3 linked regions of the Oryza sativa Japonica Group genome follow. Each later gene encodes a partner of the first gene's protein in a complex. Links are inferred from orthologs where the notes say so. Each region holds a gene or a part of one and is shown on either strand. Other genes may lie near its edges.

Region 1 (3,514 bases):
TAGATAGCCTAGCTGGTATATTTTCTTTCCTTTTTATGTCATATTTGGGGACAAGATCTAACTTGTTGCTGACATCTGTATGCACAAGACTGGATAATGCACTTTTTAGCTCAGCAGATGCTTTGCTACTCAAAGACAATAGTGTATGCCTTATTCTACACATGGCAGCCTGGAACTTGATACATTCCATTTCAGTTGCAAGAGCAGTCTTCATAGATAGTAGGAAGTATCCAGCATTAAACATGCTGTCACTCTTCCTTTGAGAAACCACAGAAGAATCAAGTGAAGTCTCACCAGAAATAGGTCTTGATGCTTCCTCCTTGCCTGATTGTATGTCAGTGTTTTTTAATCCTTTGTCACTTTCTTTTTTCCCAACTTGGACAACTGTGTATAAGTTTGATGAACCAATATCACGTGAAAGATTACCAGATGCTAGTCTAACAGACTTCTCAGGCTTGTCTTCTCCAGACTCCATTTGAGAACTTTGTGCAGCATCATATGAATAAACTCTTGAGTTAAAACTAGAACTCCCTGGTTTTATGGATCTGGGCTGGTAAGGATTTGTAAACAACGATGTTGGTGTCTCACCGGTGGAAATTTCAATAGCTGCATACTCGGGTGCATAAGTGAGCAATGCTTCAGCTCTGGTCAGATGACTAGATCTACCAGACGATAACACAACTGATTGGGAGCTTGTAGGCGACGCAATATCTTTCTGAGGCTCTTGAACCTTAGAAACAACATCATGAATAGGTGCTACAGTTTGGTGGTTAAATACCTCCAAAGATGAGAGACCAACTGGAGAAAATCTTTGTTCAGGTATATCCATAGCTGTCGACGGACTATCTGTGAATGTGGCATCCCCACAGTCAGGACCGGGGATCACCAGAGAATGTGATTCAGCAGTACCTGGAGGCTATATAAATTGTAGGTAGGTTAGAACATTGCAATTCTGAGCCACAATGGATGCAACAATCATGTTCTATTTCTGTTCAAGGAAAATGCAATTATTGTGCTCGAAATTGTTTAGATCTGCCGAGCAGAATTTCCTAATATTTTCTGTTCATGAATAGTTTGACAACTGTCTAAATTAGAAGGCAAACAACATGAGGTTGTGCAGTAGAAGAAAATTCCTCCACAGGCTTTAGGCGAAATCGCAAGCAACATGTTTCAAGGCATGTAAGCTGTGAGGAATTCTATAAATGGTCGTTCTTTGCAATTTATACACTTAAAAGGGCAGTAATGAAGCCACCTGTTATAATCTAGACTCTTAAAACAAGCAGTAGAGGCAGTTATAATCTAGACTCTTAAAACAAGCAGTAGTGGTTTTTTGAGTAAATTTCACAAAATCCCGGGTTTGGGAGCATGTGTAACGGAAAACCCCTTATATTGCGATTTGTTTCAAGGAACCCCATGTTTGGAGGCAAAATGTTTCAAGAAACACTACATTTAAACTTATATTGTCTATTTGGCTAATAGATTTATGCATAATAATTGCAAAAAATAGTATGTGATATTTTGTTAATTAAGTATATATGTATTATCCGCATTTTCAACATGTGTTAATTATCAAAAGTATAAACCATTTTGTGTTTATGTAACCGGTTAATCTGTCATCAACAGTGAGGACTGTGTTGAGTATGTGCAATCATTGAGTGCGAGAGTGATGAAGATAAATTAGACATGAGGAAGTGCATTTTGAGCCTACTTATATGTGAATATATATTAAAAATACCATATATAATCATGAAAATGAGTATTTTATATAAATCTGAGTTCCTCAAAACATTTTGCCCCAAAACATGGGTTCCTTGAAACAAATTATAATACTTCGTTATGCATGGTTTTGTGAAAATTGCCCATTTTTGTAAAAAAAAAAAAAAAAAAAGGTTACGCAGCAGCACAAAATGCAACAGTAGGAATTACAAAATATAATCTTAGTTAACAGAATTTGACTACTTCTATACTTGACAGAATATCTCAAAGTAGCATAGATTCACAGTATTATCATTAGTCCGAGTAAATCCTTGGTTGATTGGTAAACTACAGAAAGATCATGGGACATGACAGCATACCTCACCAAAGTCTAACTCCTCTTCTTGAAAGAAGTCACTAAAATCTCCAAACTCTGATATTAGTAAATTGATGTCCATCGCAACCCCCTCCTCATCCCAGCCCCAAGAACATCTACCTTGACCATTTACCCCTTGATTGTTATCCACGGATTCTTTACCAGCACGAGAAGAAACTTCTGGTATTTCAGAACGAGGCCGCTTGGATACCTGGTTTCACAGGTACAGAACATCAAGGTTACAGCAATGCCATTACGTTCATGTAACACGGGCACACGGCACAACAATAGCATGATCGTGTAATACCATTTTCATATTGTTGCACAAAAGTTAAGAATATAAAAGGTGCCAGATGCAGAAAATTCATTCACCAGAGTCTTCATCCACACTTGGCTTGCATGTGGGAAGAAAATATTTGATCTGATAGGTTTAGCATCAATGGGCAAATACATGGACATCCGTGTTTTAAGTGAACATAGGTCTGAGTGGATCGTATTTACTCACAAATTAGACACAAACACTTTTACACGTAAGAAGGTACATCTATAAGCTTCTATGAACTTCATAATGTGTCGTGTCATGTACAAAAGGTCTACTGGCATTTGGTTTATCTATTTCTATCCAGATTTTCATTTCATTTATCCACAATACCAAACCATTTGTTAATTATAGTGATACCATTTACAGGAAAGAAAAGAATATATTAAGTATGTCAGTCCTCTAATTAACATATTACATTAGATTAAAGCCTATTGGGAGATGGCACAAAAAAATGTTTGGGCATCACTAATAGCATACACCATTTCTGTAGACCATAAGAAGGATGTAGCAACACATGGTTGACATGTCTTATGCGTTTCCAAAATAAATATGTTATTTAAGCATACCCTATATTTGCATCTGTGCCTCATTAAAGATGAATCACCAATAAGATCGTAAGAAGGATGGAAGAGTATACATATTATTGTGTTAATAATAGCTTAACTAGTGATTAAAAAAGAAACAGTATTTTAATAGCAAAGTATAAAAAGGCTATAAGGCTATGTGTGAATTAAGGTTCACTTTTTGGGGGGAGGTAAATTAAGAAGGATTGTAACAAAGTACCATCTTGCTACCAGCAATGTTGGATGGCAGATCAGACTGATGGCATGCCATAGAGTCTGCATCAGCTGAAAGGTCACCACCTTCAGCAGCAACTGCATGTTCACTTCCATTGGAAGTGCTACTAACACTACTGATACTACTGGCCATGCTGCTGTAATTGCTGTTCTTCTGTCTCCTTAGTCTTAGAAAATTAGAGTTCACTCCAAGTCCACGAGATGATCCAAGGCAAGAGCTGATACCGAATCACAACACAAGATGGAAAAAAATCATGGACAAAACAAAATTAGCAATCAGGATATATTAAGAACATAAAGGATAGGCATTAATAAGTGCAACTT
Region 2 (4,058 bases), about 1.7 Mb from region 1:
ATCTCAACAAAGGGCTTCTGCTGAGGAGCTGCCCTTAATGGTCTCCCAGGTCCAGAATCAGAACTCAAGGGCTTAGATTGCTTGTGAAGCATGGCCTGCTGTTTGACTTGCAAACTTGAATTTTGAGGGGTTTGTGGGTTAGCCTGCCTCATTGATGGCTCTTGCCTTGCCAATTCCGGCCTCCTGGATTGAACTTTTTCAACAGCTCCCATGTTACGGGGAGGCTCTTGCTTTGTCAAAGCTGGATGGCTTGTAGGCCTCCTGCCATAATTTTCTCTCTTATTTCCAAGGCTCCCATCATTGTTATGTCTCAAGTCTGTCATAAAATGTATAACTTGAATTATTATAGTGCACAGAAAAAAAAGGGAAACTATGTAATTTGAGTTGTTGTACTTACTTCCATCTTCATCCATTTCATCAAAGAACTTTAGGTCAGGAAGATGAAGCAGAAAGAAAAACAACAATGCAAAGTTAGAATTGTGTTCTGGACCAAAACAATCCAGATACCAGGAACAAACAAAAATTAGTACCTCAGAGAGTTGAATAGCAGTAGTCTGGGTTGCAAAGAACGCCCCTTCATCCAGAGGTGGAGAAGGAAGCCCTTCATCATCAGCATCATCGACAACAGATGTTTTTGAAGAGCCCGGGGAGTTGTCTACAGATCAAAAGATCCATTACATGTTAAGAGGTGAACATTCACTTACAAATTGATGACTCATACGCGATATGAAACAAAATAACTTTTATTACCTGTAAGGGCAACATTAGTGGTGCTGACCCACTCATCAACCAAAATTTTCCAACCTCTGAAAAAAAAATGTTTTAAGACGTCAACAATGTTTCCAAAATTGGTTAATAACCACACTACAAATAAGGTAAATAATTCACTCAAGTAGTACAAAGACTGGAGAATACAGAAGCTAAATCAGTAGACTCGTATCATGTTTTCAGAAACTTATAGGTACAGTAGAGTATCAATTTGCTTCAGCAAGTTCTCTAAATTAAAAGCTAGATCAGCCCTAGAGAATGAAATTTAGTGCAAGCATATTGAACTTACTCAATGAGAGTGCGCACAAGGTGACGAATTTGCTGCGAGTTGTGCTTCCGCAGCCCATTAACAGCCCTCCCAATCTCAGTAGCCTACAACAAACAACATCGGAGATTAGCAAACCAAACAGAACCACTATGCGTCACTCCGCATAGCTCATATGCGCTATCCAACACAGTACCTTCAGCGTGGAAACGGACAATTGCATCAGCTGCAGCCTCCTCAGTGATTCGAACAAAGTAGCATCCGACTGCGAAAACCACAGTTGAGATCAAATGTTAAGTCCCTGTTGAGGAATGGCACAACTCTTACTCATGGAAGAACTGAAAGCTGGGAATAGTTCATCATACATGATCTTCCTTGTGCAAGAAGAGGTCCTTGATGCGGAGAACCTCGCCGACGACCTGTGACTCCTCGTCGATCTCGTTGGTGAGTGCCTCAAGCTCCACAGCCTCGGGGTCCAGCTCTTGTTCTTCGTCCTCTTCAGCCGGCGCCGCCTCCTGCTCCTCCTCTTCCTCCTCGTCGTCATCATCGTAGTTGTGACCGTAGTTGCTCGCCGCGGCGCGGCGGAGGCGCTCGTCGTCGGAGTCAGAGTCAGAGTCGTCATCGACGTCGTCGCGGCGGCCGCCGCCGCCGCCGAGGGCGCCGTTGCTGCTGCTGTCCACCTTGCTCTGCTTCTCGGGGACGCGGCGCACGCTGCCCTTGTCCTCCTCCACGGGGGTGGCCGGGGTCGGGGTGGCGGCGCTGCCGCACCCGTGGTGGCAGGGCGGGGCGCGCGGCGCGGTGAAGAGGATCTCGCAGATGCGGTCGCGGCGGCGCAGGAGCTCCTGCGGCGCGTCGGCGGCGGCGACGAGGATGGCGTTCTCGATCACGTCGCAGATTCCGGCGGAGCCGGCCGCCCCGCGGAGGAGCTCGCGCCACCGATCCAGCCGGTCGGCCATCGCCGCCGCGGCCACCCGAGATCGGGCTCCCCCCACCTCCACCTCCACCCCCACGACTCCGATGGCTCCCCTGGCACCACCAAGAATCGATGCCCTCTCTCGATCACCTCCTCCTCCTCCTCCTCACAATCTTGAAATTTCTTTTTCCCCTTATCAGATTACGTTGCACCAAAAGAATCTAATCCAACCCGATCGCGAATCAGATGCCCCCCACCGAGGGAATCCCCCAACCGGGAAAGCGAAATTCTCCCGAGACAGCGAAAAATCAATCTAACGAACACCGCTGCCTCTCCTCAACGCCAAGAACGAATCAATCAAGAAGAGAAAACCCCAAAAAAAAAAAACAAATCAATCCTCACACCACCCAAACCCAATCTCCCCTCCCTTCCTTTGCTTCACCCCCACGTCCACGTTACTTGACGATTTCAACCCAACAAACAAAACAGCTCCTAACCAAATCTTATCTGTGCCGTCGCCGCCGCAGGAGGAGGAAGACGACGACGACGAGGGGGAGAGGGAATGCGGGGAGGGGGGTTGGATAGGGACGCGGCGGATGGCGAGGCACACGCAACGCAAAAACGAGAGCCCACGAGAACTACGCAAGCTCGACTCTACCAAACAACAACAACTACTCCTCCTCCTAATTCCCCCGCACGCACACCACCACCACCACCATGGCCTCCTAGTGGTAACAACAAATCTCGCGTCTCCCTTTCCCAACTCCTTCCGTTCGTCTCGTTCTCTCTCTCGCGCAACGGAGGTCGCAGCTTTTCTCGGTCTAGGACTTTCCGGGGGGGCCCTTTTTTTTACCGGGTTTGGGGACACAGCCACACAGGGCGAGGTCACTACGGTTTTGGAGAGGGAGGCGGCCTCGTGGCTGTTTCTCGGCTTTGACCCTGTCGAGTTGTTGGTGGGATGCAGGTCCTCTCATGCAGTAGGCTCCCTGACATGTGAGCCCTATAGCCCCTCGGGCCCACATATTAGTGAGCAGTACGGCACATGCAGTACTGGAGAGGATCTCAACTGTTGTTGGTGGGAGTGGGACTAGTACTACTCTTTCCTGTAGTGTTTGGTTGGTAATAGTAGCATTCGTTTTTTGTTTATTGGGCTAATGATTCCCGTTTGATATCCACTTAATTCAAGTTTAGTTTTCAAACTTGGGTAGGTGAGCATCATCTACCATAATATCACTGTTATTATATAATAGGATCATCCTCTTATTTGTTTCATATATAAGTGTCTATAGTATGTGAACCAGTTGTATGCACGTACCCACCTCCATCCCAAAAGAAAAACTCAACTTACGAAGGATTGTCCATTTTTAGATGAATAGAGTACTCTCTCAATTCTATAAAAGACTAAATTAGTACGAAATATGATATATTTTAATACTATAAATCTGAATAGACGTTCAACACTATGTTATTTTTTTTATGGAACCAAGAAAATACGTGCATGCAACCGTAGCCGCCGTAGGCCACTCAAATTTTAAAAAGTAAACTTGGATTGTATCTATATAAATATATTTGTGGTATTAGAATGTGTCACGTTTCGGTAATAGGGTGGTTTTTTTATGGAATGGAGAATGTGCTTTAGGAGTACTATTAATTGTTGAGGCCCAATGGACTATTTTTGGCATCATTTTCGAAACATGGTGCGAGGAAATAGTATTGGATTAGTAAATGCCAATCGATGGTTTGATATAGTATAGCACAGTAGTACACCGTAGGATCAAAGAAATATTTATGCTCTGTATAGCTTCTTCTTTTTTGAATAGAAAAAGAATGGAGTACTTTTAGCATCCTTTTCAAAACAAGGTGCTAATGTAGTAGCGAAATCTTGGATTAGTAAATGGCGATCAAGATTGATTAGCAATATACGCTGTATCATCAAAGAAAATATTTAGGCGGCAAATACTCCTTTCTATTTATAAAAAACTGAGCTATCTATTAACAGTGAAATTTGATAATCGACAAAGGCGTCATCGGCTTAGAATCATTATCGGCTGTAGCATCTCGGAATCAGCCGATGAGAGTTATCAAGTCACCAATAGTCGAATTCCTGCTATA
Region 3 (4,171 bases), on another chromosome or scaffold:
CAGGGAGAGGAAATCCAGTGCGAGAGGTTATATCGATGAAGTGATTGTGTATTGCCAATGGGCTAGACTATGATACTAATCTTTGATTAAAAAGAGAGAGAATGAGTGCTAGAAAGCTATGTGTATCTTTGGTCTTTGGGCTGCTGGCAGCAGACGTGATGGTGTGAGCCTTGCTTTGCTTTTCTACTTTGGAAGCCATGGCTGATCTAGCCTCTACTAGAACAAGCAGATTGAAGGGGTCGTCTGTTTTGATGTTGGTGCCCAAAAGCTTTGAATATGACCATGCAAGGATTCGTGGCCAGCATCCAAATGGTGTGTTTGCTATCAAGATTAGCAATTACTTAATTAGGTTCGAGTAATCAACAAGTTTGGAGGTTTCGACTGACAGGCATCTCGCCTTAATTTACTTGCTTGAGCATTATCCGATACAAGCTAAAACGAGAGAGCACTGTTGTACCCAGTGTGGCAGAGCTTCCATTGGATGGTTTCCTCTCAGAAATGGGGCTTGTAAACACACATGCAATATAGTTACATCATGAAAAATATATACAAGGACTTTTACGGTGAACAAAATATGGTACCAGCGAATATCTTACTATTACTCCAGTATTTCAGAATCGGATATTGAATATACTTCATATGATACCTGAGCCAGGGGGATTTTGGTTTTGAATCACTTGGGCGTTTCCAGGATTCTGTTGAGTCTTTGTCTCCATAGAGAGCATTTTTAGAGAAATCTTCCGCAAGTAATCAGACTGGTGATACAAAAGAATACAATGGTAAGATTTGGCTTTGTAATAAATAACTTGCCACCCTAAGTCCTGGTGGTTAGCACAATTGAAACATATGCTTCGTTTTTTTATACAATCAATTAAATTATACAAATTCTTATCTATACAGCAAACTACTTTGGCATGAATAAGCCTGATGAAGTATGAACAGGAGAACACAATTGGAATTTGGAGATTATGAATCCCTATACCCAGCCAAAGAAGCTCCTACAAAAATGTTTACCAAAATGAAGTGGGATATATGATGACATACTCGCTAACACAAAAGGAAGGACTGGAGTAAACCATTGTTTGATGTTTCATCTGGGATAAAGGGAATATTTTACAGGTGATTTATACAAGCATGAACAGATGGAATGATGGGCTTACAGAACTCAAGGTACAACTCCTGTACTTTTAACATGGCCAATGAGAGAAACCAGTCTCATGGTAAAAATATTGTTTAGTTCTATAATTCATTAATACTAATTTACTATTGAGATATGTTATCAATGAAAATAATGTGGGGACATCAACACCTCTAGCATAGGACTGAATCAGTCTTAGTCCCTGTATCCAAGGCGCAAAGGAGATTTTCCCCCGATAATGGAAGGGGAAAAGCTTCAGCAGCCTTGGATAATCTGATTTAGGTGGAAGTGCGAAATATTACAATCGGTTCAAAAGAAAATGTGGATACTTCACGGCGAAACTCTAACAAACTTCAAAATCAACAGACATATTTGCAAACATTGGACGATCGATTTCTTCTACTAAGATCCCAAATGCCATGCTTGAGCCCCACAACTGAAAGATTGGATCAACCCGATGAGTTAGCAAGAGGCTAAGTGTACCTGGCTGGTGGCTGCAGTATAGATTTTCTCTTCAAATCGCACTGCTATCTTTTGAAGTTCATTCAACCCCTCAGGCACTGATACTGGTAGATGCTTCTTCAGAGTGTCCATTCTGTACGCAGATTGCAACAAGCAAGTAAATGACGAATATATCCCATGCAGAACGAGAGAGAGAGAGAGAGAGAGAGAGAGTGCTTTTGAGATGTTTTGTGCAAAAAAAAAAAGAGAAATGTCACCTAAGGCATAATGTGTCAGTCTACCATTCAAGATGTTGGACAAATGAGTAGGCATAGCCCAAGTTACGCGCTCAAATATAGTGGCTATGACCAAAAGTGGACAACAGCTACAAAGGACTCGCGGAGCGAGAGTGGCACATACATGATCTAACATAACGAAGTAAAATAAACGAGAGAGGTAGGCGGTTTCTCCAACAAACAGTTTGCCTTGCCATCATAGTTCCCTGACCCTCAAAGGGAAGATCCATTTGAACAGAAGGGGTGCATCTTCCAAGCAAACCTCTATACTGTAATAACTGTGTCTGATGAAATGTAAATTGAGTTCAATTGGATATGTAGACTAGGTGAACTAGACAAGAATGTCAAAGCTAATAAGAATCTGAAAATAGTTGGGGAGGGATTGGAGTTGGACCTAACTAACAAAGTAAATAATAATAAATAAATAACAGAAACACAGGGGCACGGAAGGGGAGATTATGATGAGATTACAACTAGCTACGTAGGAGTAGATCGGATCAGAGTTGCATCATATTGAATCGACCACAGGCACAAAAGGATGATGCGATGTATGGATCTTCTATTTTATTTTATATAGTTGATGAAGAGAAGAAAAATTGGGGGAAGGGAAGGGAAGGGAAGTGGGTGGGGGGAGAGGGGGAAAGCCCTACATCTTGTTGACGATCCTGTTGCGGGCCTCCGACTGGAGCTGGGAGCGCCAGTCGCCGCCGGCGAGGGCGGGGGCCGGGGCGTTGGGATCGATGCCCCCAGAGGCGGCGGGGTCGGCCCCCTGGGTGGGCCTCCAGTTGCCGCCGCCGCCGCCATCCATGGCTCCTCTTCTTCTTCTTCTTCTTCGATTGCAATTTGCGAGGGTTTGGTCTTCGTGGCGGCGGCGACCACAAGACGGAGCGAGCGAGCGAGCGAGCGAGGTAGGCTAGAATCGGAGTCTCGCCTCGCCTCGGAGGAGAAGAAACCTCGGGGTTGGACCGACCTAGTATTTATTTCGCATTTGCCCCCTTGTACTTACAGCATACTCCGATTGCGTTTCCTTTCCCCTTGCATACGGTAGCATGGCGTTAACCCTAACTTTTTTATACTAATAAAATATAATAATAAATTTATGAAATATTTCAACATTTGCAAATGCCAACTATATATAAAAACCCTTCTCTATTAGAACCCCTTCAGCATAATTATTTTGTAAATAAAGCTACACATAAATACATGTTACCGTTTTGGATAAAACCCTCTATGGGTAGTATATTGAAATAAATACCCTTTTAATAAAGAAACATAGCTATGGCTATTTTATACGAACCTTTGAAAAGGAATTTGCCTTCGGAAAATTAATTACAAAATAATATATATTAGTAAAGTATTTATTAAAAACCCTATTTGCAAAATATAATTCATAATAGGCTATTTTCAAAAGATATGACCTTCTCACACAACGTCTAATTTTCCCTCAGGTATAGCCTAGTTTGCATGTTAGGATTTATTGTTTATTTGTGTGTGTTTAGAATTTGTGCCATAGATTTTGATTAAACCCTATCTCTAGAAAGGACACCCTTTCCTATACCTTTCTTTTTCCATCCTTACCTTCTCTTACCTTCGCGGTCTAATTTGTTATGTGCTTCGATGCTAAATAAATCAATGACCCAAAACTTTTTTGTCCTATCGCGATATTGTTGCTCTCTCAAACTCTCGCCCAGCGATTATTTAAAATCACTCCATCAATTCAAACCCAACACTCTCCCTTGACTATCTACAATCGATCGGCGTATTTATTTATCATGCGTCAATTCAATTATCTCCGATTCTATTCCTACCGCGACGATTGGATTTGTATGCTACGCGTTGTCCCTAAAATCCTTTCTTCGCTACCGTCGTTCGTTTGTACGAACACTCTCAAAATAATCCTACAACAACCGATAAATTCATTTATCGTGCGTTAACCCTAAACTCCTATTTGGCAATACGGTGCATCCATCCAAACAAAGTCTCATGTTGCAATCCATTTATTCTGCCCTCGTGCATTCTCGGAATATCTATACATACCACAAATCCCATTTCCAAAGCACTGTCCAAGTCACACCGTCCCACCACAAATACAACGTCCAGTCATACAGTCCCAATTATAAATGTACAGTCCTATTACACGAGTTGACCTATAGCCAAATGACCAATTATACAATATACACCATACCGTCCCATCCACATTTACAGTCCAAGTATATTTCTAGTCCAAACACAGAGCCAAAATCAATATCCATATTATACGGTCCATTTATACAGAGCCGAGCCAAATTACAAATAC

What was found. The genes of interacting proteins can lie anywhere in the genome.
Region 2: mediator of RNA polymerase II transcription subunit 13 (region 1) and probable mediator of RNA polymerase II transcription subunit 26b share a complex: the UniProt entries of both Arabidopsis thaliana proteins name them as parts of the mediator complex. The link is inferred for Oryza sativa Japonica Group from reciprocal best matches to the Arabidopsis thaliana genes GCT and AT5G05140.
Region 3: mediator of RNA polymerase II transcription subunit 13 (region 1) and mediator of RNA polymerase II transcription subunit 15a share a complex: the UniProt entries of both Arabidopsis thaliana proteins name them as parts of the mediator complex. The link is inferred for Oryza sativa Japonica Group from reciprocal best matches to the Arabidopsis thaliana genes GCT and NRB4.

Annotation. Positions count from the first base shown.
Region 1 is NC_089039.1:22,060,900-22,064,413, forward strand, and holds part of mediator of RNA polymerase II transcription subunit 13, read right to left. Parts: intron 3,409-3,514; coding exon 3,177-3,408; intron 2,283-3,176; coding exon 2,076-2,282; intron 917-2,075; coding exon 1-916. UniProt on the Arabidopsis thaliana protein: Component of the Mediator complex, a coactivator involved in the regulated transcription of nearly all RNA polymerase II-dependent genes.
Region 2 is NC_089039.1:20,347,247-20,351,304, forward strand, and holds the start of probable mediator of RNA polymerase II transcription subunit 26b, read right to left. Parts: upstream 2,815-4,058; 5' UTR 1,990-2,814; coding exon 1,399-1,989; intron 1,299-1,398; coding exon 1,230-1,298; intron 1,141-1,229; coding exon 1,058-1,140; intron 807-1,057; coding exon 751-806; intron 656-750; coding exon 531-655; intron 426-530; coding exon 398-425; intron 317-397; coding exon 1-316. UniProt on the Arabidopsis thaliana protein: Component of the Mediator complex, a coactivator involved in the regulated transcription of nearly all RNA polymerase II-dependent genes.
Region 3 is NC_089042.1:28,450,866-28,455,036, forward strand, and holds the start of mediator of RNA polymerase II transcription subunit 15a, read right to left. Parts: upstream 2,815-4,171; 5' UTR 2,684-2,814; coding exon 2,526-2,683; intron 1,734-2,525; coding exon 1,622-1,733; intron 756-1,621; coding exon 647-755; intron 1-646. UniProt on the Arabidopsis thaliana protein: Component of the Mediator complex, a coactivator involved in the regulated transcription of nearly all RNA polymerase II-dependent genes.